Saccharomyces cerevisiae S288C: one gene and its partners. The gene in region 1 interacts genetically with each later gene. Each region holds a gene or a part of one and is shown on either strand. Other genes may lie near its edges.

Region 1 (4,610 bases):
GGGCATCACGTTCGTCGTGACATATGACTTGAAAAATGTGCAAAAGCTTATCGGAGCCAATCGGATTGACGCATTAAAACCGAAGTGTATTAGGACCAAATTTGCGCTGTATAGGGTTGAACGGTAGGGCTACCAGGGTCTGAGTCATCAAAGAAAAAGAAATTACAATAAGAGTCTTACTTAAGATGATATAGAATTGTTGTTATTGTTCATGTATGGATGCCAAGAAAACAAAGTTTTTTAAAGTGAGGTATGAATTATGGCGTGGAGAAGCTGAAATTGAAATATTCGAAGCATGGGTGTATTACTTGCAAGATCAGAAAGAAGAGATGCTCTGAAGATAAACCTGTGTGCCGGGACTGTCGTCGATTAAGTTTTCCCTGTATCTATATATCAGAATCTGTTGATAAGCAGTCTTTGAAAAAAATAAAGGCAGATATACAGCACCAGTTGATCAGCAAGAAAAGAAAGCATGCTCCTGACAGTGCTCAGAAAGCGGCCGTGGCCACCCGTACTCGACGGGTCGGTAGCGACGAACAGGATAACCAGGTATATTTGTCAAAACCGCTGGAAGATTGCATTTCTCAGAAGCTGGACTCTATGGGATTGCAGCTGTACAACTACTACAGGTCTCACCTTGCAAACATAATTTCCATCGCGCCCATGAACCAGAACTACTATCTGAACATTTTCTTGCCAATGGCCCACGAGAATGATGGTATATTGTTTGCTATTCTTGCTTGGTCAGCTAATCATTTGTCTATATCATCATCAAATGAGCTGCGAAAGGATGAAATATTTGTCAACTTGGCGAACAAGTATACATACATGTCGTTATCGCATCTAAAGACAAACGAGGGCTCAAGTGCCTGTGCTAAACTGGGGTTTCTATATTCACTAGCACAAATCCTAATCTTATGTGGTTCAGAGATATGTCAGGGTGATGTGAAATTTTGGAAGATATTATTGAATATAGGAAAAAATTTGATCGAAAACCATGTGGGCAAGGATGTCTCACGGATACTAACCACTACTACAGAAGAACCCTCCCTAGAGGAGAGGATAATCTTCCCCAATTTCAATTCCGTTGTTAAGTACTGGCTGATTGTGAATTTTATATATCATGATATTTTGAATTTCAATACAACGTCCTTCCCGATCGAACAATACGAGAAATTCTTCCAAAGGGATCAGAACTCTTTACCCAGCTCAGCCAACTTTATTGAGTCAATAGACTCGCCAATTGAGGAAATAGACCCTTTAATTGGCATCAACAAGCCTATTTTACTACTATTGGGACAAGTCACAAATTTGACGAGGTTTTTGCAGACTATGGAACAGGAAGAAATGCTAGAGCATGGCGATAAAATTTTGAGTTTGCAAGTCGAGATTTATAAATTACAACCTTCGCTTATGGCGCTGGAACATTTGGATGATGAAAAGAAATTTTACTATTTAGAACTATTCGAGATAATGAAAATTTCTACCTTAATGTTCTTTCAATTAACTTTATTAAAGATTGACAAAGATTCGCTGGAACTACAGATACTGAGAAACAAATTGGACTCGAAGCTAGACAAGGTCATCGGAACTTTTTTGGAAGGATCGTTATGCTTCCCACTTTTCATTTACGGTGTATGCATTCAGGTAGAAGATATGGAGAAAAAAATAGATTTGGAAGCCAAATTTGACGACATTTTAAAACGATATAAATGTTACAATTTCCAAAATGCTAGATTATTGATACGGAAAATTTGGCAAAACGAGGCTGATGGCATCAGTGAGCATGACCTGGTCCACATGATTGACGAATTAGATTACAATATTAATTTTGCCTGAGCAGCATATATTTTCTTTCCCCGCCCCCTGGGTGTCTTAAATTATTGTTTCACCACACAAACATATATATGTTCTTTTTTTTTTTTGTAGGACGTACGGATTCAAAAACAATTTATACCTATACAATGTAGAAATGCTAACGTTGAGACATAGAAGTAATTATTTAATTAACCATTTTAGGTGATTATTTTCAGGGGTGTCCGAGTCCACCTCTACAACATCCACCTGCCCGGTTTGATACCTGTAATCGCCTGTCTTGGAGTCCTCCACAAAGCTTATGCTTCTCTCAGATTTCCTGCGTGGCCTATCCATTATGGCTGCTCCTGCATACGACGTGCCAGTGCCGCCAATCATATCTATATCATGATTGCTTTCCCCGTCGCTTGTACTATCTTCATTCGAGTGGACGTCATGAGCCCATACAGATTTATACCGATTTGCTCTCGGAAATTCATGGCCATCTAGCACTTGTATTCTTTGGTAGTGATCACTATCATTATCCTCGTCACTCTCGTCCCTTTCACAAACGGGGCTTTCCCTTCTCTGCTTTGCAGTCCTTGTTAATTTAGTCTTAGACTTCATTTTAGCTCTTTTATTAGATTTTGTCTTTAATTTGCCCTTGATCTTCAAAATTAACTCATCAAAGTTGTCCTCGTGTGCATCATATACCACCTTATATGATTGTTGGTATTGTGTGGCGAATAAGTCCTGGTTCCAGGCAAAACCTTGACTTTGAGATACAGATATTTTAAAATTTGGCCTTATTTCTGCACTATATGTAAATACCGAACTGGTATTTGAGTATACAATAAGTTTCTCCTTATCCTCCATGACTCTTCAGTAGCGGTTATGAACACGATATAACTATCTGCATTTAACGCTGGTACTGATTTCAATTTATCCTTATCAAATGATACGCTCTTTCCCTTTAAAAAGCGCCCTTACCTCGTTCCGAACGGCGCTAGTAAGAATTTCATCAAATTGCCCTTCTTGTGGGGGGATGCTCATCACAGACTACTGAATATGCATCACAGAAAAGACAAAAAGAACCATTAACATGATTCTGCATATATTTGAATGATTAATCCATGGTATTGATTTAAGGCGGTAAGAAGGAAAATTTAAAATTTGGATATTACCATCTTCTTCTACACTCATATATATTCCTAATTTCCTTTGCATCAGGTCAATCGTGACAGTTGTTGCTTATAAATGCGATTATTTTCTGCGTAATATCCATAATTACTTCAAGAACCCCTTAGGTGACAACCGAAAGTCAGCAGTCACTTAATAGTATTTAGTGTCAGAATTTGTTGGCCTATTTTCTTACATTCACTATATAATACTTACGGGGCTAGTTTTATTTTCTACCACAAATAAAAATAAAGCATCTTTTAATTTTCTTCCCTTGAATGGCTTAAGTGCCTCAGTCGAATGGCAACTTGGTTCCATTATTATCAACTGTATACTATTATAGAGGCATTTTTTTCAATAAAGACATGCGGTGTGTGGGTCTTTTTACCTCTGTAAGTTACGTAATAATGGAATTTCATAGAGGAAGAAAGATGAAAAAATTCACTTATAAAGGGAAGGACATCCGTGTGCTTATACCAGCTTGAGAAAGTACTGACCCTTGAATCGTTAAGTTTACTTCTACAAAATCTCCAAGTAAAGAAGGAATATAAGTAATATAAGTACAATGTCCGCCGCTACTGTTGGTAAACCTATTAAGTGCATTGCTGCTGTTGCGTATGATGCGAAGAAACCATTAAGTGTTGAAGAAATCACGGTAGACGCCCCAAAAGCGCACGAAGTACGTATCAAAATTGAATATACTGCTGTATGCCACACTGATGCGTACACTTTATCAGGCTCTGATCCAGAAGGACTTTTCCCTTGCGTTCTGGGCCACGAAGGAGCCGGTATCGTAGAATCTGTAGGCGATGATGTCATAACAGTTAAGCCTGGTGATCATGTTATTGCTTTGTACACTGCTGAGTGTGGCAAATGTAAGTTCTGTACTTCCGGTAAAACCAACTTATGTGGTGCTGTTAGAGCTACTCAAGGGAAAGGTGTAATGCCTGATGGGACCACAAGATTTCATAATGCGAAAGGTGAAGATATATACCATTTCATGGGTTGCTCTACTTTTTCCGAATATACTGTGGTGGCAGATGTCTCTGTGGTTGCCATCGATCCAAAAGCTCCCTTGGATGCTGCCTGTTTACTGGGTTGTGGTGTTACTACTGGTTTTGGGGCGGCTCTTAAGACAGCTAATGTGCAAAAAGGCGATACCGTTGCAGTATTTGGCTGCGGGACTGTAGGACTCTCCGTTATCCAAGGTGCAAAGTTAAGGGGCGCTTCCAAGATCATTGCCATTGACATTAACAATAAGAAAAAACAATATTGTTCTCAATTTGGTGCCACGGATTTTGTTAATCCCAAGGAAGATTTGGCCAAAGATCAAACTATCGTTGAAAAGTTAATTGAAATGACTGATGGGGGTCTGGATTTTACTTTTGACTGTACTGGTAATACCAAAATTATGAGAGATGCTTTGGAAGCCTGTCATAAAGGTTGGGGTCAATCTATTATCATTGGTGTGGCTGCCGCTGGTGAAGAAATTTCTACAAGGCCGTTCCAGCTGGTCACTGGTAGAGTGTGGAAAGGCTCTGCTTTTGGTGGCATCAAAGGTAGATCTGAAATGGGCGGTTTAATTAAAGACTATCAAAAAGGTGCCTTAAAAGTCGAAGAATTTATCACTCACAGGA
Region 2 (10,557 bases), on another chromosome or scaffold:
TGGCAGTGGTAGTAGCACTAGTCCTGACGTTGGTGCTGGCAGTGGTAGTAGCATTAGTGCTGGAGTTGGTACTTTCAGTGGTAATCGCACTAGTCCTGACGTTGATGCTGGCAGTGGTAGTAGCACTAGTCCTGACGTTGGTGCTGGCAGTGGTAGTAGCATTAGTGCTGGAGTTGGTAGTCGCATTGGTACTGGCATTAGCACTACCATGAATGCACGTGTCGCTGTCCTCATCACTGCTGCAATACTTTCTGCACCTGTCACTGCTATTGCTCTCCTGGAAGCTAGACGGTAACGCAATGATCGACATGGAAGCTGTCGCCTGTTTTTCAGCCAATCTGTCCATTCTTTCTATCAGTTCCACTGTGTCAGCAGACAGGTCTGTCCTGGAGCCACAGCATCCAACATGCTGGCCCTTTTTTCCTTTCTTTGATTCAAGTCCATAGAACTCGCGTACCTGTTCGGTTATACAGCCTTCCTTAATCGGTGGTAATTCACCCTTACGATTCCTTGCCGCCCAACTGTTTTTTCTAGATAATAGATAACAGAGGCCCCCATCTCTTAGTCTCCCTACGCCTTGAATGAGCTCAATAATATTAAGTCTATTATCAAGCATGATCACCATCATCAATTGCTTAATGTCAATTCCTTCAGTCACTAATTTCGTTCCGATGAGAACTCGCATGCTACCGTCAGTGACAAACTCCTTTGTGCGAGACACCTTTTCTGCAGCACCCAGCTTCCCGTGTATCCATACCACCCTAAAATACTTTCTCCAAGAGCAGGCCAATTCTTCCACTTCGTTGGTTGTGCTTGCAACTACAATGGCCTTCGACTCTGGTTCAATTTCAAAGAGGGCTAAAAGAAGCTTCAGTGCTTCTTCGGGCTGTGATTCCACTTTCTTCCAAATTTTATGAACATGCCCTAAAGGCACCTCGGATTTCTCCTTGATTAGATTAAACATCCGTGTTGGATAGCTGGATAGACCTCTGCTGAGATCTTCCGACCGTTTGAGCTCGTTGATGTCCATCGACTTCTTGGCCAGTCCCGTAAGCCCAATACGCTGCAACGCAGCATCAGCTACAGCCTCAGGTGCTGTGCCGCTCAAAAAGATTGCTTTCTCAAAAGCGTCAAAATCAAGGTTAGTTATGCCCCCAAATTGCGACTGCCGGTAGACCTCCGTTTCAAAGTTGTGAAACTCATCTACAATGAGGTAACCCAATTTTACGTTGTTGGTCCTAAAGGTGCACTCAACAATATTCTCCCACGCAGCTATCCTGTCTGTGAAATTAGTGCTAGCAAGATCATCGTAGATCCCCACGTATAAATCAGTAACGCCATCGCAACCTTCTTCAATAAAGTTTCTTACAGGGGCCACATTCAAGCAACCGCATCGGCTCAACCTGATCATGCAATTAGCAAGCAACACTGTGTACGGTACAAACAGAAACGACACATATTTCACGTCGCCCTTAGACGCCAGTGCTATCAAGGGGAGATGAAATAACTCCGTCTTACCATAGCCCGGTGGGGCCTGTACTGCCACAGAGGGTGTGTCTGCCATGTATATTTCATGACATAAGCGCAACTGATGCAAGTCCCTGAATTCAAAGGAGCTGCCAAAGAGTTTCCGGCCTGCGACGAGGATATCGTTTGTACTCTTGGGCTCTCGGGGCCTTTTTCGCGTTACTCTTGAAATTTTTTGATGATGATCTGAACTCGCCGCCTCACCTGCCACTACGTCTTCCGCATTCCGAGTACTAGAGAATGAACAATGGTAGTCGCTTTCAAGGCCTAACCATTGAATCCAGCGCTCGGAAGCTCGTTCCTGCAATAAAGTGGCGGTCGTCCCACTGACACTAGTTAACGAAAAGGAATCCACACCGTAAATATTTCGCCCTGTTTGAACGGAATGATTGGCCATGAGTTCACTCGTCGCCGACTCGTACAAATCTGTTTCAAATCTGCTACCTACGCAGTGCCGTCCTAGGGCAATCAACCCCTGACGCATCTCCCGAAAATTCAGCTTCTGAGGTGCATTCTTCGGAAGTTCCCTCATGTACTGCCGAAAAGTTGCGTATTCAACCAGACAGCCCTTCGCGGTATTCAGAAACATGTAGGAATACAAAACTATCCTCGAAATGTCTCGATTTGTTACTTGATCTGGATCCTCAAATCCCACCACATCCATCCAAGGATCATGATTAAAAGCGTCATAACTGTTACCAAGCGCACATATTTGCATTTGCCTTAGCACAGTGACAAAATAAAACACGTAATCTGAAGTGAGTCCGTCAAGCGTCTTTAGTCGAGGCTCCGATGAACCGTTCTTGTTGTAATCAGTGTACAGTTGGATGCGTCTTGTTGTATCATCGACGTATACGTTGCGCTGAGGACCGGCAAAAGCGAGTAGCTGAAGCTCTGGATAACGGTAAGGGTATCCTACGGCAAAATGGATCATCCACATAAGTGGCACCGTAAGCTCGTCAATTGCAACAGCGACTTTATTTTTAAGAGCCGCGGTCATTTTGTTAGTATCTCTTCTCAACTTGGGCAGCACAATTTCACGATATTTAACAGGTATCATTTGAAAAAAAGAATCGTTTTCCAGATACTCGTCAATTCCTCGCTTCGGTTCTCTGAACAAAACTTCTCGATTACGCAAAATGAGGCTGGCATATGGAAGCAGTTGTTCAACTCTCCCCAAAGTTTTCCACATACTGATATACCATCAGAAGAAGGTACCAAAGTTATTCTATAAGAGTCCTTCAGCGTGGTTTCCTGCGCTACTTCGTGGTACAGAATTTTGATCCATTTCCACATTGCAACGCCGTTGTTGTCATCAAATATATCTAAATCCCTTGCGGTACAAGCACAAGACGACACCAATAAAGCTTTCACGGCATCTAGTGTTTTTCTGAGTCTTCGTGGAGTGTTAGGACTGCGCAACTTACATACTTTCAGGCCATGCTCGTCCACAGAGGGAATAATGGGTTCTTCATTCGTAATAGATCGATCCTCTTCGTCACCAGCGCCACCACGGGGACCCGCCCCGAAATTGAGTGCACATGCTCGCAAGATAATATGCAAAATATCACCCAATCGGTCCTTTTTGTTCATCATATCGTTACATATCTGTGAAAAGTACTTTATCTCAATGGGTTTACGTGGGCATAGATCACGCTTCAGCCGCTCTGTGTCGACTTTCTTTTCGCCAGGTAAACTTGCTTGCATAGCTCATCTACGTGTAGGCTGCCAAATTGTACCCATATTTCCTTATGGTGCTTTTCTGAAGACTCCTTACAATAGGTGCGCCGGAAACAAAGTCAGTGAAAGTACGCATCGTAGAGCTGTCGTTCGGCCTAGCACTCGCTATTTCGTGACAACGTTCCAGGACACGGAAACTCAACTCATTATAGTATCCTCTGTTGAGGTAAAAAAGAGAAAGGGTATCGTAATCCTTTCTATTGAATTTCAAAGTATGCACTTGAAACAACGTGTAGACCATCAAGTTGATTTTCTTGGGAACAAGATACTTTGAAGGGATTGGTCCGCCCTGGAAATCTGGTTCGTCTTCAACAAACGTCAGGAACTTTTTTACATTTTTCCCGACCATGACGGAAATGACAACTTTTTCAAAAGACCTTTTCCTATCCATTGCACCAGTTCTGAATTTTACCACTTTGATTAGGCCAGACTTTTCGTCTTCGTAGAATGACCGCACTTCCGTGGGGATCGATTCAAATAAAGTTATTGAGGGACAATGTACCAAGTCGTTTTTGTTATTTAGAGCCGACTCAAACTCGTCAAAGTTTGCTTTTTCAAACTTACGCCTATCGGAAACTTTCATTTTATTTTTGTAAGTTTCGAAATTAACAATAGTATGTTGATTTTTATGCTTTTTGACAAGAAATCCATCAATATAAACAAAAGATTGTCCAGTTTTCGTCTTATCATCATCTAAGAATGTAATAATTAAGCTATTGAGAAGATGCAGAATCTGCGCTATGCAGGTGCAGCAAAAGCAAACAAAATCTCACTAAGATAAGCGACTGTCTGTCCCCTTCAAGCACAACATAGAAAACAGAAGGATGTCTCATTCATCGCTTGATTTCCGGCCTGCAAAAATAAAGTAGTCGGTACGTACTTTCGTTTTCAATTTCCATGGTGCACAGTATCTTAACTATCTGCTTAGTCGAGGAGAACCAGGATTCTGTTCGTTGCTCAGCCGCTTCGTGGATATTCTCTTGGATACTTTAAACATGGACCTACGTTCCGCTCTCGAAAAGACCAATATAATAAAAAGTTATAAATTACATTTCCTTATTAGGTATACGACCTCGCGCTTCGAAGTAGAGGAGCCCTTTTTGGCGTACCTACATATGGCGCGTCAGACAGACAAACTTCCCCCAAAAATGTATTACCCCGCCGAATAAGAAAACAGACCCATTCACCAACGACGTATCAAGTTACTTCCTTGGTTTGCAATGTCCCACTATAAAAAAATTCCTTGACGCTAGATCTTTGGGCTAAAATCTGCGTCAAACAGGAAATATTGCCTATTTTCGTACAAGGTTACTTCCTAGATGCTATATGTCCCTACGGCCTTGTCTAACACCATCCAGCATGCAATAAGGTGACATAGATATACACACCACACCCACACCCACACCCACACCCACACCCACACCACACCCACCACACCCACACACCACACACACACACACCACACCACACCCACACACCCACACACCACACCCACACACACACACACACCTAACCCTAACACTACCCTACTCTAACCCTGATCAACCTGTCTCTCAACTTACCCTCCATTACCCTACTCCCCACTCGTTACCCTGTCTCATTCAACTATACCACTCCCAACTACCATCCACCTCTCTACTTCCTACCACCAACCCACCGTCCACCATAACCGTTACCCTCCAATTACCCATATCCAACTCCGCCACCACTTACCCTGCCATTCCTCTACCATCTCCCATCTACTACTCACCATACTGTTGTTCTACCCACCATATTGAAACGTTAACAAATGATCGTAAACAATACACATATACTTACCCTATCACTCTATACCATCACCACCACTTGCCACACTCACCTTCACTTGTATACTGATATGTCATACGCACACGGATACTACAGTATATACCATCTCAACTTACCCTACTCTCATATTCCACTCCACTCCATGGCCCATCTCTCACTAAATCAGTGCCAAATGCACTCACATCATTATGCACGGCACTTGCCTCAGCGGTCTATACTCTGTGCCATTTACCCATAAATCCCATGATTATCCACATTTTAATATCTATATCTCATTCAGTGGCCTCGAATATTGTAAAAATGCTCTTAATACATACGTTATATTACTTTTGCACCATATACTAACCACTCAATTTAAATACACTTATGCCAATATTACAGAAAAATCACCACTAAAATCACCTAAACATAAAAATATTCTATTCTTCAACAATAATACAAAAACATATTGACTTGGAGTATGAACACTACCATGACGTCATTAACGTAAAAGTTCCTTAATATTGCAGTTTGCTTGAACGGATGCCATTTCAGAATATTTCGTACTTATGCAGACCATACATTAGAATAATATGCTACCTCACTGTCGTAACACTCTCCATTCACTGTGCTATAATATGGTACTGTGTTGACACTCATGCGGGTGCTATGATAAAATTGTATCCTATTTCCATTCCCATATGCTATCCGCAATATCCTAAAAGCATAACTGATGCATCTTTAATCTTGTATGTGACACTACTCATACGAAGAGACTATATCTGAACAAGACGATACTGTGATAGGTACGTTATTTAATAGGATCTATAACGAAATGTCAAATAATTTTACGGTAATATAACTTATCAGCGGCGTATACTGAAACGGACGTTACGATATTGTCTCACTTCATCTTACCACCCTCTATCTTATTGTTGATAGAACACTAACCCTTCAGCTTTATTTCTGGTTACGGTTACACAAAAACTATCGCAACCCAGAAATTTTGATATTTTCAGTGTCAAAAAATGAGGGTCTCTAAATGAGAGTTTGATACCATGACTCCGTAACTCGCACTGCCCTGATCTGCAATCTTGTTCTTAGAAGTGACGCATATTCTATACGGCCCGACGCGACGCGCCAAAAAATGAAAAAAGAAGCAGCGACTCATTTTTATGGAAAGACAAAGTGCTGAGAAGTCATGCGCTTCCAATTTCATTATTGTTTATTGGACATACTCTATTAGCTTTATTACCATCCACCCTTTTTCTAGAATAGTGTAAAAGTTTCTTTTTATGTTTATCGTATTCATAAAATGCTTCACGAACACTGTCATTGATCAAATAGGTTTATAATATTAATATACATTTATATAATCTACGGTATTTATATCATCAAAAAAAAGTAGTTTTTATTTTATTTTTCATTACTTTTTACTGTCTATGAATTTTCATTCGTAGAGGCACTCGTCCCTAGTTTGCGATAGTGTAGATACCATCTTTGGATAGAGCCTTGGAGATAGCTGGCTTTAATCTGCTGGAGTACCATGGAACACCGGTGATCATTCTGGTCACTTGGTCTGGGGCAATACCAGTCAACATGGTGGTGAAGTCACCGTAGTTGAAAACGGCTTCAGCAACTTCAACTGGGTAGGTTTCAGTTGGGTGGGCGGCTTGGAACATGTAGTATTGGGCCAAGTGAGCTCTGATATCAGAGACGTAGACACCCAATTCAACCAAGTTGACTCTTTCGTCAGATTGAGCTATAGTGGTGGTTGCGGAAGCAGTAGCAGCGATGGCAGCGACACCAGCGGCGATTGAAGTTAATTTGACCATTGTATTTGTTTTGTTTGTTAGTGCTGATATAAGCTTAACAGGAAAGAAAGGAATAAAGACATATTCTCAAAGGCATACAGTTGAAGCAGCTCTATTTATACCCATGCCTTCATCAGTCATCACTATTTAAACGATTCGTTAACAGACGCTCATTTAGCACCTCACATATCCTCCATATCTCATCTTTCACACAATCTCATTATCAGTATGGAAATGCTCTTGTTTCTGAACGAATCATACATCTTTCATAGACTTCGTATGTGGAGTATTGTTTTATGGCACTCATGTGTATTCGTATGCGCAGAATGTGGGAATGCCTATTATAGGGATGCCGGGGTACCTTGAAAAACCCTTTTGCGCGCCTGTGATTTCCGTTTTCGGTCAAAAAGAATATCTGAATTTTAGATTTGGACCCTCGTACAGAAGTCTATTGTCTAAGCCTAATTTCAGTGCTTTAAACGGCTTCCGCGGAAGAAGCATTTCTATCTCTTGAATTCGTACAACATTAAACGTGTGTTGGGAGTCGTATACTGTTAGGGTCTGCAATTTGTGAACTCTCGGCGAATGCCTTGGTGCAATTACGTAATTGTAGCCGCTGAAGGCGGATGGTATTGAGAGAAGTTGATGTTCAAAGTATCGTGTATGATAAAAATAAAATTGTAACCAGTTCGTAGTAGCAGTATTAAAACTTTGCACAGAGGGAAATATTTGATTCCGAGATGTAATCCCTCTTTTCTAGCCAGATATGAAGGAGAAAAGTGTAAGGGTAGTAGAGAGCGCTACTTTATTTTATTTTATTTTAAAAATGTTCTCTAGGAAAGGTGTATTAATAGTTGATAAAAAAAGTATTTTGTCTTCTATGTTCATAATTTCAATTCTTGAATTTTGGAAATCGTGAAATGCTTCGAGAAACCGCCTTCAATAATTAGAAAACAAAATAAAAGATTACAATTAGGCCACTCAAAAATACAATTCAGATAAGAAAGGAGCGATAGTGGGGAGTAAGAATTGGAAATACCCTTGATAATCAGGGAAAACTTAAGGAACGGGGTGTTAAAAGTCTGTGAAGTATAGATCAAACTCGCACTAGCTAGCAATACTCATGAGAACCCATGTGAGTCTAAAGCTGTGAAACTTCTTTAGAAAGCAGAGCATCCTCTAAGTTAACAGTTTTCCATACTTATTCAGTATGGATCAAGTTCCACAGTTTGTCAACTTCTGTAAAATAAACTTGTAGTGCTTCTTCGATGAAAAGGGATAGAATCTTTAAAAGACTTGATCTTGGCATTTTTATCCTCCTTCAAGCAGAATGGCTCCAGTAGAGTTGTTCTGAACGCTTCTGGGCAGTGAGCAGCATTGAAGAAAAAGTACTCAGCATTCCAAGCTTTGTTTTCATATAATTATAAATTAAAACTCATAGCCACCAATTTCCAGGTTTTGGTCGCAATATGCTGCAGAGTCAATGGCTTGTTTCATTACTATACTAGTCCGACGGAGTTTACTTTACTCTAAATTTTCTGAAATAGAAAGGCCACACGCCATACAATTAACAATAGTTCATTTAGTTGAAAGGTTTCCGAGATAGAAAGTGCGGTAGTGGAGAAGAACAATAAACGTATCAAACTTTGCGCAGTCATGGAATTTCCAGGAAACATTTTTAGGTTTTCATATGACAGCAGTTCCTGTCCGAGAGCTGTGCCTTTCTTGTCTCAGCTGACTAAGATGTCTCGGATCCGCCCGGCTGACGCGCGGCTCCGTCTAGTGGGATAGGCTTTCAACACATAGAAAACCCTTCAGATGATGAGAACACATCGAATCCCAGAGAGTAATATCACTAAGAATAAAGCAACCATGATAGACGATATTACTAAGTGTTCCTCAACAGATATTGAGAAAAGTTCTTATAAAGCGGGCAGGCTTTTTTCTATTTTTTTCTTTTTCTTTATCTAGCTTAAGATCTTTCTAACCATATTCTATAAAATGGCAAGCTGAATACAGATTATCAACGACAATTACAGATAACCTACAAACATGCAAGTTGCAATTCCAGAAACCATGAAGGCTGTCGTCATTGAAGACGGTAAAGCGGTTGTTAAAGAGGGCATTCCCATTCCTGAATTGGAAGAAGGATTCGTATTGATTAAGACACTCGCTGTTGCTGGTAACCCCACTGATTGGGCACACATTGACTACAAGATCGGGCCTCAAGGATCTATTCTGGGATGTGATGCTGCTGGCCAAATTGTCAAATTGGGCCCAGCTGTCAATCCTAAAGACTTTTCTATCGGTGATTATATTTATGGGTTCATTCACGGATCTTCCGTAAGGTTTCCTTCCAATGGTGCTTTTGCTGAATATTCTGCTATTTCAACTGTGGTTGCCTACAAATCACCCAATGAACTCAAATTTTTGGGTGAGGATGTTCTACCTGCCGGCCCTGTCAGGTCTTTGGAAGGTGTAGCCACTATCCCAGTGTCACTGACCACAGCCGGCTTGGTGTTGACCTATAACTTGGGCTTGGACCTGAAGTGGGAGCCATCAACCCCACAAAGAAAAGGCCCCATCTTATTATGGGGCGGTGCAACTGCAGTAGGTCAGTCGCTCATCCAATTAGCCAATAAATTGAATGGCTTCACCAAGATCATTGTTGTGGCTTCTCGGAAGCACGAAAAACTTTTGAAAGAATATGGTGCTGATGAATTATTTGATTATCATGATATTGACGTGGTAGAACAAATTAAACACAAGTACAACAATATCTCGTATTTAGTCGACTGTGTCGCGAATCAAGATACGCTTCAACAAGTGTACAAATGTGCGGCCGATAAACAGGATGCTACAATTGTTGAATTAAAAAATTTGACAGAAGAAAACGTCAAAAAAGAGAACAGGAGACAAAACGTTACTATTGACATAATAAGGCTATATTCAATAGGTGGCCATGAAGTACCATTTGGAAACATTACTTTACCAGCCGACTCAGAAGCTAGGAAAGCTGCAATAAAATTTATCAAATTCATCAATCCAAAGATTAATGATGGACAAATTCGCCATATTCCAGTAAGGGTCTATAAGAACGGGCTTTGTGATGTTCCTCATATCCTAAAAGACATCAAATATGGTAAGAACTCTGGTGAAAAACTCGTTGCCGTATTAAACTAGATGACGAACAGATATTATTTTCTTTCATATACATAGTTATTACGTTTAGTTATAGTGACTTAGTTTTTTTTTTTTTTTTAATGAAATTGTTTGTTATTGATCACCCCTTGTAGGGGCAACAGATGAGCACAGTGAAAATCATAACTCATTATGTGATTCGTTGTGAGTAACCCTTCCATGATTATATATCCTAACTATCTACTATCCAACTACTACATATCTATTGAACTCATATGTACCAAGCACATAAATTTATGCACCCATTTCCATTGGCAAAGACTTGGCGAAATTTAATACACTGTAATAATATCCGGCGAAGCTCTTTAAGTATTCTTACCTATAATGGCGGCTCGCTGTCCGAACGATTGCGCCGCACTTTTCTGCCTCTTACATTCCTTTTTCCTAAGGCGATAAGCAGGCTGAATGGAAACTACAATATATTGCAATAGAGCTTCCCCAAGGAACTCCCACTTTCCTTGGATTATTACAAAGAGAGTTTTACCTTTTA
Region 3 (11,840 bases), on another chromosome or scaffold:
AATAGATAAAGGTACGTATAAGATTAAGAAACAGCCACGAAAGAAACAACAGTAAATTCCAAAAAAAAAAAAAAAAAAAAAAAGAAGAAAACACAGAAGGGGGAGTAAAAATAAGTATACCGCTGCTATTGCATATATTCGAGCATTTCATTCATGTATTTATTAATATGACCAGATAATAAAGAATATTCAATCTCAATTTCTTTAACTTCAACTTCGAAATCTTTTTGTAATTGTTTAATTTCATCATTTAATTTATTGATTTTACCACTGATCAGTTCCTCTTGAATGAAAATGTCCGTTTTGTCAATCTTAGGTTTGATTTCATTTTCATATTTGATTTGTAGATCCATCAATTTAGTATCATTTAGGCGCGACTCTTCTTTAGTATCTTGCGATAGCTTTTCCAAATTCTTGAGTTGCAAATCTAACTGTTCTTGTAAGATTTCTAATTTATACATAATACCTGTTTCCAATACATTCATCAATTTCAGCTTATTGTTGATTAAATTTTGCTTTAATCCCACAAGTTCCGTTTCAGTTCGATTAGACTCTTGCACCTCGCTGGAAATTATTCTCAGCACATCATAGAGCTCACTAATTATGGTTTCGAACGTCGTCACTGTATCTTGCAAGTTTTTCTGTTGTGCGGTTAAGTCGTCTAACGTCTTTTTCCTTTGTATCAACAGATCATTTAGCTCTTTGATTCCCTCGGATAACTCTTCCATGTCTGTATTGGATATTTTGATCAGTTTATCTCGATTGGACTCTAATTCCACTATTTGGAAACTCAGAGCTTCCAGATCTTTAAAGATTGACTGCTTGGAGATCTTATAGTCATTATAATCTATGGATAACGTTTCTTGGATCTTGGTCAATTTCTTCAACTGAATTTCCAGCTCCTTATTTTGCTCTTCCAGCTTTTGGAGCTCTTGCTCATCAGGTATATTATCCCCATCTACGTCCTCGTATTGCTTTAGCTGTTGCTGAATCAAGTTATAATCATCGAATTTGGAGCGAAGCTGACCCAGCAACGATTCCATTTGAAGAATAAAAGAATTACAGTCGAACATTCGTTCCTCCCTAAAACGAGCGTAATTCACCACAGCACTCAGTAAGCGCTGTGTCCGTTGGGCTTCGGGCTTGTACAAATCTGTCATATTGAAATCTTGAACACCTATGTTCTCAAAGAACTTAAAGCAGATTTTGTTCAATACCAAAACATTTAACGTGTCCAAATAAATGTTCTCGTTCTCTTCCTGTAAGTGACCATCCCCTGTTTCTTGGTTACTACTATTCAGCAACGACTCTACAGAAATACCCATGAAGTTCTCGATGATTTGTTTGTAAAGGGTTACCATGTAGTCTGAGGTGGGCCTAGAGATATTTTCCTGTGTGGCTAGCGCAAAATCACAGCTTTGCAAACATATAACTAGTTCCTGTAGATCCAAAATGGGGAACACATCTTGATTCCTACTCATTTTGCTCAAGGGATGCTGGAGCCTTTCTCCTCAGTACATGCTTTTTACCAGTATTTTTTCATAATATTGTTTATTTTAATTGTTATTGTTTGTTACATGTCCCGATTCGGAAAAGCGATCTTTTGATCAAATGGCTGGCACCATCAAGAAGAGAAAGAACGCTGATATATTCGACTAACAAGAAGACCATTATCAAAACCAGATAGGTGTATAAGTATGTCAGAAGAGAGGGAAGAAAACGGGATATCTAGGGCTACGCTGAATACGCAGCGACTTTCAGCAATGATCGATTCACTGAACAATGAGAAAGATGACAGGCTCTTTCCATCTCCCACAACTACCAGGACAATGATCACAGAGGAAAAGGCGGATCAAAGTGATGTCTTTAAACCACCATCGAGATTGTTGAGATCACCTGCTGGTGACGTTTCGCTGCCACCTGGTGATAACAGATCAAGTATGATTTCCAACTACTCTGGAATTATTCAAGAAGGCGTTGAAGTATCATATGTGGTCAAAAACCGGCAACAGACCCAAGAACGGCGCACAAGTAAGGATTCCAATAGTTTGTACTCCTTGAAAGAGCCCGTGAGCAAGAACGAGTTACCGTCGTTGCCCATGTTGCCTTCAGAAGCGACATTGACAAAACATCTAAGTGATAACCAAAGCACAAAATCGAATACCAATGCAGACGAAATTGTCATTAAACCAGTTACTAATGCCAAACCTGTGGGAAGGTTTAACTCTAACACTTCAAAAAAAGTAGAGGGTCGTGGCTCACTGAAACTGTTATCTAGTCCTCTACGTCAGGAAAAAGTTATGCGTTCCTCTATAGGATCAGGTAATTTGGCCAGCGAGAGCGGATCTTCCACTTATAATACCAAATTCCATCAATCTATTCAAGAGCAGCTCGAAGAAGAAGAGGAAGGAAATGTTAGCGATAAGCTTTCAATTGTTTCCAGTGTCATACCCGAGTTGTATACAACCACCAACGAAGCACCCAAAGCGATAAACCCAATACGTTCTGAAACCAATGACTACAATCCAACTATTCCGCCCAGAAGTAAGGACCGTCCTAGGTCAAGGTTGTTCATCGAAGAAGGTGATGGCGAGGGGGATCTTTTAACCGAAGAAATATTACCAACGCCGGTCCAACCTGGTGGCCACTATAAGAACTCATCTCAGATTTCCACAGTTAGTGAACAAAAATCGGAATCTTACTATTCTGCGGCAACGAGTATGCCTCCAGAGGAAGAGACTTACTTGACAAGACCATTGCCCAGCACACCCAATGAGGATAGCAGAGTTACATCGAATTTGAAACGTGACGACACATTGAAGGCTATTCATGATAGGGCAAATCATACCTCTACTTCGACAAACAAACAAGATGATGACATGTACGAGGACATCATTGAGGAAACGCCCAAGAAAACTAAACTCAAGAAGGATACGAAAAAAAAGCTCAATAAAAAAAAATCTGTGAAGGAATTGCGATCCTTTGATATCGACACACTAAATCAACTGTTGAGTGTGACAAAGGGAACCTTAATCGGGTCTGAATTTGCGCAACTGGGGATGAAAATTGAGGAGAAACGTGCCCTGGAGAGACTAGTAGACTCTTTGTCCAGGTTAACAGCAGACATGGTTCTTGATCCGGACCGCTATGAAGAAGGACTGAAAAGATTAGACAAAGCTACAAAGGCTCTTGAAGGGTTTTGATGGTGCAACAACAATAATAATAGTAATAGTAACAGTGGTAGTAACAATAACAATAACAATATCAATATCAATATCAATAATATATTATAATACTAATAATGAATAATAATAATAGCAATAAGTATAGTATAGTATAGTGGTAATATATAAGTTTCTTTCTCTTCCGGTTTATTTACAAGTCATATACAAATAAAAAAAAGTGATAGTAATTCAATGGCTTGTATTCATTGATACTTGGACAAGTCCGGCATACTTAAAATTTCCTTCTCTTTATTTTCACTGAATTCTTGTAGCTGCTTCAGCAATTTAGAATTGGCCCACTTGTCAGGCAAGGGGCTGGTTTTGAAATTTTTTGTGGCCCAATAGTATATGTCCCAGTCCAACTCATTCAATAGCGAATCGTATTCTTCCAGTTCCTCTTCGTTCATCTTCTTCAAATATTTGGCAGCGAACCCAGATAGCAGCAAGTCCGTCTCCAAGATCCCTCTTTTGCGTGATTGATATATCAACCGAGCTCTTTTCTTATCCAATGGCTCGTTAGTTCTCTTTATGGGGGCAATTTTAATCCTCGTCACCACATCGTCGTGGTCATCTTTATCACTACTAAACCACCTACGACCGCACGACCATGCAGCGGACCCTGTTTGAGAGTTGATAATCTTGTAGCCTTGCAACGACAGTGTCTTTGTGAGTGCTGGAAACATATTGTGCATTTATGTGCTCCTTTTTAAAGTGTACTCCCTTTTTTCCTCCTGTTCTTTTTTTACAAATTTCGCCTTTCTTATATATCCTAAATATACTTAAAATCTAGTCTCTTATGAAATCTGTAAGAAACAGCATAATGTCGCTCCTTCTCTTCTATTTCCTATATATATCTACATATCACCAAAGAACGTGAGAATGGGCAGGAAACATCTTGGTGATTCGTTCATTAACCGGCGGAACAATCTCTTGTATCATTGTAGTCTTTTTCACTACACACAGTTGTAACTGTGGGAAACAGTTTGCGCGTAAAAGTCCCAAGTTAATCAGTGTCACAAGTACGTTTTCGACGTTCTTGGGGGAGTGAATGCCATTATAAATGGTAATTTCCTGGGCGCCGGGATCCTCGAATGTCGGACCAATAGATAGCTGTAGTACCCGTTCTATCAAGGAGTACGGTAATTTGTTCTGACCCCATTCGGTGGTCCAGGACTTTATTACCGTTTTAATCAGATTTCTGTACGTTACCATGGGCAGTTTCTCTAGGAGCACGATCAGTAACTGTCTTGCACACAAATGACGCTCGTTTTGTCTCAGCCAGAGACTCACGCCTTGAATATTCCCATAACGTACGTGTTTGTAGAGAACACTCCAATTATCAATTGTTTCTTGGGAAAGGAACGGTCGCAACGGTCCCCATTTGACCATCTTTCCCAGTATCAGCCCTGTAGGGATCATGTAATTTAGTATTCTGGTGCCATTCCTAGTGATCGCTTGGTTCGTTAACGGCAAGTTCAATAAGGACTGGAAAGCTTCATTGAATTGAACGAAGGCATTATGTACTTGAGAGTTCAACAAGTAGTACCTTCCTAATAGATATCTGTATTCTATTTGCTGGTCGAGCTGGTATTCGTTGAAATGTGCAAGCATGCTTTTTGGCTGAAAGTTCTTAAAGATATTGGAACATAATTGCGGTGACTCGATCCTGAAGTAGATGTTATTTAGTTTATTGACCAGGTAGAGCAGTATTCGTTGTTTTCCAGGTATATTTGTAGAAGATGCGTTACCTCGTGGAGGTTTGATGCTGTTAAATAGTCTTGATAGGATGGACGATATATGTGATAGAAATTGGTGACTTCTCGTATGCAGTTGCAAGTGGAAAGAGTCTAGTTTCCCAGCGAGATTGATGATAAATTCTGTTTCTCTAGTTGCTACTGGTATCAACATTTCTATGTGAGGAGCATTGTCGTTGATGAGACAGTTGATTAAACATTGATAAAACTCAAAAATTAGATCCGAACTGGACCAGGCTGACCATGGGTCGACATCTCGGGCATAATTTAAAAAGGATGTACACATGATTTTGAATCTCGTATCATTGGGCATAGCCGGGTGTTGTTCTACAAACGTTTCTAGCTGTTTATCATCAAATCCGGTCAATTGCTTCTGTAAGATAGCAATTTCCCTACCATTTTGGGACAAGTTTAGCGTTAGGTGGGAAAAATTTCCATGTGCTAATTCATCTAGCAACTGGTTGGCCATGTCCATTGCTATCTATCCTTTTATCCCTGCCCTGTTTCTTACTTTGAATGCCATTGATGTGAAGATGGTTTTTTTTTTTTGGAAAAGTATAGAAGAGAAATTTGACGTATAAACTTAACTATTAAAGGGAGAGAAAGTCAACGACATAAAAAGCAAACACAATAGTCTACAAATAATGTCTATGGAGCCTCCTGTGGGGCTTACGGCTATGCCCGTCACCAAGCTAGCCATGATCACGACGCTTGTGGTTCCCTTAGTTGCCTCGATTGCAAGTTACAAACATATATTTCTATTGCAATATGATCCTTTTCTGCAGACCTACCATCAATACTACCGTCTGCTCATATTCCAGTTCTGCGCCATCAATGAATCCGATACAGTAATACTGGCGTTGATATGGTATCTGTTTAGGCATTTAGAACGGCTACTAGGATCCCACAAGTACTTGACCTTGATTGTTTTGTCATGGGCCTACACCACCTTAGGAATTTGGGGATTGAATCTGATCTGGAACGCATTTATTGGACAGTACAAGTGGCTTCAATGGAACAATTTTAGTACAGGTTCACTGCCCATTGTTTTAAGCTTAGTACATTTTTACAAAGAATACACCCCTCAGATTTACGAATGGAATATAAGATTACTAGGACCTCGAGGAGGAGCATCAAGTCACAATGATAACAAGCGAGAAGACAAGAGCGCCGTAGAGTGGAAAATCAACGATCAGTTTCTTTTAAATGGGTTAATTCTCCTGCTTATATTAAATCAGGGGTTTGCAGGAATACTATGCGGATTCATAAGCTGGATGTGTGGTATTTTCATCGATAAGGGCCTGTTACCGGGATTAGACCATTGGAGAATACCGTTTGTATCCTATTTCATCTCTCAAGGCCCACCCACGAGGGCTAACGTTGCTATAGCGGCCAATGCGGCCACGAATACAGCAGCAGCAAGAGCCACTGTAGAAGCAGCTACTGCTGCTACAGGAAATGGAAATACAGGCAACTCTGGGCCTACAAGCCTACCGCTTCGTGGTTCAAGCACCACCCCTACAAATACCTCTAGCGCTGGTGATGACGAGCCTGGTGCCGATGAACCTGCAAGACCACTGGGAGTCCAATTTTTGGATACCTTTAGGAGATGATTTATATCAGCATATACCTACATAAACAAATAAACATAGCAACGGTTTAGCAACATCGTTTACAGCCATGTGAGGCAGTTACTTCTATCATATGTCTGGCTTTAGTATTGTTGGGTTGACACTTATACGAAATATCAGAAAGTGAAAAAAAAAAAAGGAAGGATCTAGTGATGAGATAAACGAATTTGTGATGTAAATGCAGAAGTAGGCACAAGTGCTTGGCAGTTTTCAAACGATCATCGTATTTTAAGCTACAATCACCAACGCCAAACATCCACTTGCAGCCACTATGTCACAGCAGGAGAATGGTGATGTGGCCACTGAATTAATCGAAAATAGACTTTCCTTCTCAAGAATCCCTAGAATAAGCCTTCATGTAAGGGATTTGTCAATCGTTGCATCCAAAACAAATACGACGCTAGTTAATACGTTTTCCATGGACCTGCCCAGTGGGTCGGTCATGGCAGTTATGGGTGGTTCGGGGTCAGGGAAGACTACGTTGCTGAATGTTCTGGCATCCAAGATCAGTGGTGGGTTAACTCATAATGGTTCTATACGGTACGTATTGGAAGATACAGGTTCAGAACCCAATGAAACAGAGCCTAAGAGGGCTCACTTGGATGGCCAAGACCATCCCATCCAGAAACACGTAATAATGGCGTACCTACCTCAACAAGATGTACTCTCTCCTAGGTTGACTTGTAGAGAAACTCTTAAGTTTGCAGCTGATTTGAAACTAAACTCTTCTGAGCGAACCAAGAAATTAATGGTCGAGCAATTAATTGAAGAATTAGGGCTCAAGGATTGTGCCGATACTCTTGTGGGGGACAACTCGCACAGGGGTCTTTCTGGTGGTGAAAAGAGAAGACTAAGTATTGGTACTCAAATGATTTCAAACCCTTCCATCATGTTCTTAGATGAGCCTACCACTGGACTGGATGCATATTCTGCCTTCTTGGTTATTAAAACTTTGAAAAAATTAGCTAAAGAAGATGGCAGGACTTTTATCATGTCAATTCATCAGCCGAGATCGGATATATTGTTTTTATTGGACCAGGTTTGTATTTTGTCAAAGGGAAATGTGGTATATTGTGACAAAATGGATAATACTATCCCTTATTTTGAGTCTATTGGTTATCACGTACCCCAGCTGGTAAATCCAGCAGATTATTTCATTGATTTATCAAGCGTAGACTCTAGATCTGATAAAGAAGAAGCTGCCACGCAAAGTCGGCTAAATTCATTGATTGATCATTGGCATGATTATGAGAGAACTCATTTGCAACTACAGGCAGAATCTTATATAAGCAACGCAACGGAAATTCAAATTCAGAATATGACTACCAGACTGCCATTTTGGAAGCAAGTTACGGTGCTAACAAGGCGAAATTTCAAATTAAATTTTTCAGATTACGTTACTTTAATATCTACTTTTGCAGAACCGTTGATTATTGGTACTGTTTGCGGTTGGATTTACTATAAACCTGACAAAAGCAGTATAGGTGGTTTAAGGACAACAACCGCATGTCTTTACGCGTCCACAATTTTGCAATGTTACTTGTATTTGCTTTTTGATACTTATCGACTTTGTGAGCAGGATATTGCGTTATATGACAGAGAAAGAGCAGAGGGCTCGGTAACACCTTTGGCATTCATCGTAGCTAGAAAAATTTCACTTTTCCTCTCTGACGATTTCGCGATGACCATGATTTTTGTCAGTATAACATATTTTATGTTTGGATTGGAAGCAGATGCAAGGAAGTTTTTTTATCAGTTTGCTGTTGTATTTTTATGTCAGCTATCATGTTCCGGTTTATCTATGTTATCGGTGGCGGTATCGAGAGATTTTTCTAAAGCTTCATTAGTAGGAAATATGACATTTACGGTATTATCGATGGGATGTGGTTTTTTCGTTAATGCTAAAGTAATGCCCGTGTATGTTCGTTGGATTAAATATATTGCCTTTACGTGGTATTCATTCGGTACTCTCATGTCAAGCACCTTTACGAATTCGTACTGTACTACAGATAATCTCGATGAGTGCTTGGGTAACCAGATATTGGAAGTTTACGGGTTTCCTAGGAATTGGATAACCGTACCTGCCGTTGTCTTACTTTGCTGGTCTGTGGGATATTTTGTAGTAGGTGCAATTATTTTATATTTGCACAAGATTGATATAACTTTACAAAATGAAGTGAAATCGAAGCAAAAAAAAATCAAAAAGAAATCCCCAACAGGAATGAAACCCGAGATTCAGCTGCTAGATGACGTGTATCATCAGAAAGATTTGGAAGCGGAGAAAGGAAAAAATATACATATTACTATAAAATTAGAAGATATAGACTTACGAGTCATTTTTTCTGCCCCTTTCTCAAACTGGAAAGAAGGCAACTTCCACCATGAAACAAAAGAAATTCTACAATCAGTTAATGCCATTTTCAAACCTGGAATGATTAATGCAATTATGGGGCCATCAGGGTCTGGAAAGTCTTCTCTGTTAAACCTAATCTCCGGAAGATTAAAATCTTCGGTCTTTGCCAAATTTGACACTTCAGGTTCAATAATGTTCAATGATATTCAAGTTTCAGAGCTTATGTTTAAAAATGTATGCTCGTATGTCTCGCAGGATGATGACCACCTTTTGGCAGCTTTAACCGTTAAAGAAACCCTGAAATATGCCGCTGCATTAAGATTGCATCATCTGACTGAGGCAGAACGAATGGAGAGAACTGACAACCTAATAAGGTCTTTGGGTTTAAAGCATTGTGAAAACAATATCATTGGTAATGAATTTGTTAAAGGTATAAGCGGTGGTGAAAAAAGAAGAGTAACTATGGGTGTGCAATTATTAAACGATCCTCCGATATTATTGCTAGATGAACCAACTTCAGGGTTAGATAGCTTCACATCCGCTACTATACTGGAAATTTTGGAGAAGTTATGTAGGGAACAGGGCAAGACGATCATCATTACCATTCATCAACCAAGGTCAGAATTATTCAAGAGATTTGGTAATGTTTTGCTATTAGCTAAATCGGGTAGAACTGCTTTCAATGGATCACCAGATGAAATGATTGCTTATTTCACTGAATTGGGATATAACTGTCCTTCGTTTACGAACGTGGCAGATTTCTTTCTTGATTTAATTTCAGTTAATACCCAGAACGAACAGAATGAAATAAGCTCAAGGGCACGAGTAGAAAAGATACTTAGTGCATGGAAAGCTAATATGGATAACGAAAGCCTTTCACCAACCCCAATTTCTGAAAAACAACAATACTCTCAGGAGTCATTTTTCACAGAATACAGCGAGTTTGTAAGAAAACCAGCTAATTTGGTTTTGGCGTACATAGTGAACGTTAAAAGGCAATTTACTACGACAAGGAGAAGTTTTGACTCTTTGATGGCGCGTATTGCACAAATTCCAGGATTAGGTGTTATTTTCGCATTATTCTTTGCCCCAGTCAAGCATAATTATACAAGTATTAGCAATCGTCTAGGATTGGCACAAGAATCTACAGCACTATATTTTGTGGGCATGCTGGGGAACTTGGCATGTTATCCAACTGAAAGAGATTACTTTTACGAAGAATATAATGATAATGTTTATGGTATAGCACCTTTTTTCTTAGCTTATATGACATTAGAGTTGCCGCTATCCGCATTAGCTTCAGTGTTATACGCGGTATTTACAGTACTGGCATGTGGGTTACCAAGAACTGCAGGCAACTTCTTTGCAACCGTCTACTGTTCCTTTATTGTTACCTGTTGTGGCGAAGCTCTTGGTATAATGACAAATACATTTTTCGAAAGGCCAGGCTTCGTCGTTAACTGCATTTCCATTATTTTATCCATTGGTACTCAGATGTCAGGGTTAATGTCACTAGGCATGTCGAGAGTATTAAAGGGTTTTAACTATTTGAACCCTGTAGGGTATACATCTATGATCATCATTAATTTCGCATTCCCAGGTAATTTGAAATTAACCTGCGAAGATGGCGGGAAAAATTCAGACGGTACTTGTGAATTTGCGAATGGCCATGATGTGTTGGTTTCTTATGGTTTAGTCAGAAATACGCAAAAGTACCTGGGAATCATTGTGTGCGTAGCCATAATTTATCGCCTTATTGCATTTTTTATTTTAAAAGCAAAATTGGAGTGGATAAAATGGTGATTGGAAAAATACTTATAGACCTGTAAATTAACGGGAGGAACATCGTTATTATTTTCCTATGATTTTTTGAAATTTATTCTCCTCAAAAATCATATACTACTTTTTCTTTCAGAAATTATGGAGCTTGAAAAGGCTGCTGATATAAAAGTCTTGCGATACATGTTATTTTATCTACCTAAAAAAAAAAAAATAAAAGAAAATTGTCTATCTGCGACTGCTCTATAATGGAGATGTAATTTTTGTTCATAAATTTCTTACACTTTTTTGGATGCCTAGTAATGAATTTTTAATGTTCTTGACATTTTCAGCTTTAACATCAAGTTCTTTTAACAAGTTGCCACATTCATCTTTTTTTAATTCTTCATATGCTTGTACTAAAGCTTTAGAATAACCTTTAAATACATCATCGCAACAACTCCTCAACTCCTTGAGGGAGTTTTTGATTAGTTTTTGAATTTCTTTATCTTTGATTCTCTTCAAACTGTCTAGTGTTTTTAAGGTTGCCATTTTAGTAAGGTAAGTATGGGATACCATCCAGTTTTGTTTTGCATTTATTGGGACTTTCATCAACCTAGAAATTAAATCATGTAGATTTTTACCGTTATTTTCGTAAATTTCGAAAAAAATCAGAAATGACGCTGACTCCACTTCAGTTAAATTATTATTCAACAACTCTTCAAGGTTAATTGATGGAAGTTTTTTTAAGAGCGCACTTATTTGTTCCGTTTTCTCCCCATTTGGCAAAGCTTCAATAATAAGTTCTCTTATCAAAGTTAGAAAAATTGATTCTTCATTCAAGTTAGCATATTCCAAAATTTTACCACGGTTAAGAAATTGGGCAAAATTTTCATCTAATATGGAAAAGTCTCTATTGTCAGAAAATGATACACTTTGCGTCATTTCTAAAGATCTCCAATCTTCGTGTAATTTTTGTAGTAGGTGGCCGCGCTTGTCGTTGCATAAACGTGAGAACTGTAAGTTTTCTAAAGTTTTGGTCCATCTTGTATAGGATTTCATTAGTTTATCCCTCATCTCGAGCATTCCTAGTATTTTGCTATATGAATTTCTTTCGAAT

Evidence for each region.
Region 2: mutations in UGX2 (region 1) and PAU4 together harm fitness more than expected from each alone (negative genetic interaction), as found in Saccharomyces cerevisiae (one large-scale study listed by BioGRID).
Region 3: mutations in UGX2 (region 1) and NBA1 together harm fitness more than expected from each alone (negative genetic interaction), as found in Saccharomyces cerevisiae (one large-scale study listed by BioGRID).

Annotation. Positions count from the first base shown.
Region 1 is NC_001136.10:156,066-160,675, forward strand, and holds UGX2 (Ugx2p), read right to left. Parts: upstream 2,671-4,610; coding exon 1,999-2,670; downstream 1-1,998. Other genes in the region: UGA3 (Uga3p), read left to right, coding at 253-1,839; SFA1 (bifunctional alcohol dehydrogenase/S-(hydroxymethyl)glutathione dehydrogenase), read left to right, coding at 3,539-4,610.
Region 2 is NC_001144.5:1,059,249-1,069,805, reverse strand, and holds PAU4 (seripauperin PAU4), read right to left. Parts: upstream 6,888-10,557; coding exon 6,525-6,887; downstream 1-6,524. Other genes in the region: YRF1-4 (Y' element ATP-dependent helicase protein 1 copy 4), read right to left, coding at 1-2,719; YLR464W (uncharacterized protein), read right to left, coding at 2,305-2,442, 2,722-3,234; YLR462W (uncharacterized protein), read right to left, coding at 3,242-3,850; YLR460C (uncharacterized protein), read left to right, coding at 8,919-10,049.
Region 3 is NC_001147.6:188,583-200,422, reverse strand, and holds NBA1 (Nba1p), read left to right. Parts: upstream 1-1,697; coding exon 1,698-3,203; downstream 3,204-11,840. Other genes in the region: histone deacetylase HST1, read left to right, coding at 1-55; kinetochore-associated Ndc80 complex subunit NUF2, read right to left, coding at 126-1,481; succinate dehydrogenase assembly factor SDH5, read right to left, coding at 3,428-3,916; THP1 (Thp1p), read right to left, coding at 4,086-5,453; DSC2 (Dsc2p), read left to right, coding at 5,623-6,591; YOL075C (uncharacterized protein), read left to right, coding at 6,881-10,765; MDM20 (Mdm20p), read right to left, coding at 11,009-11,840.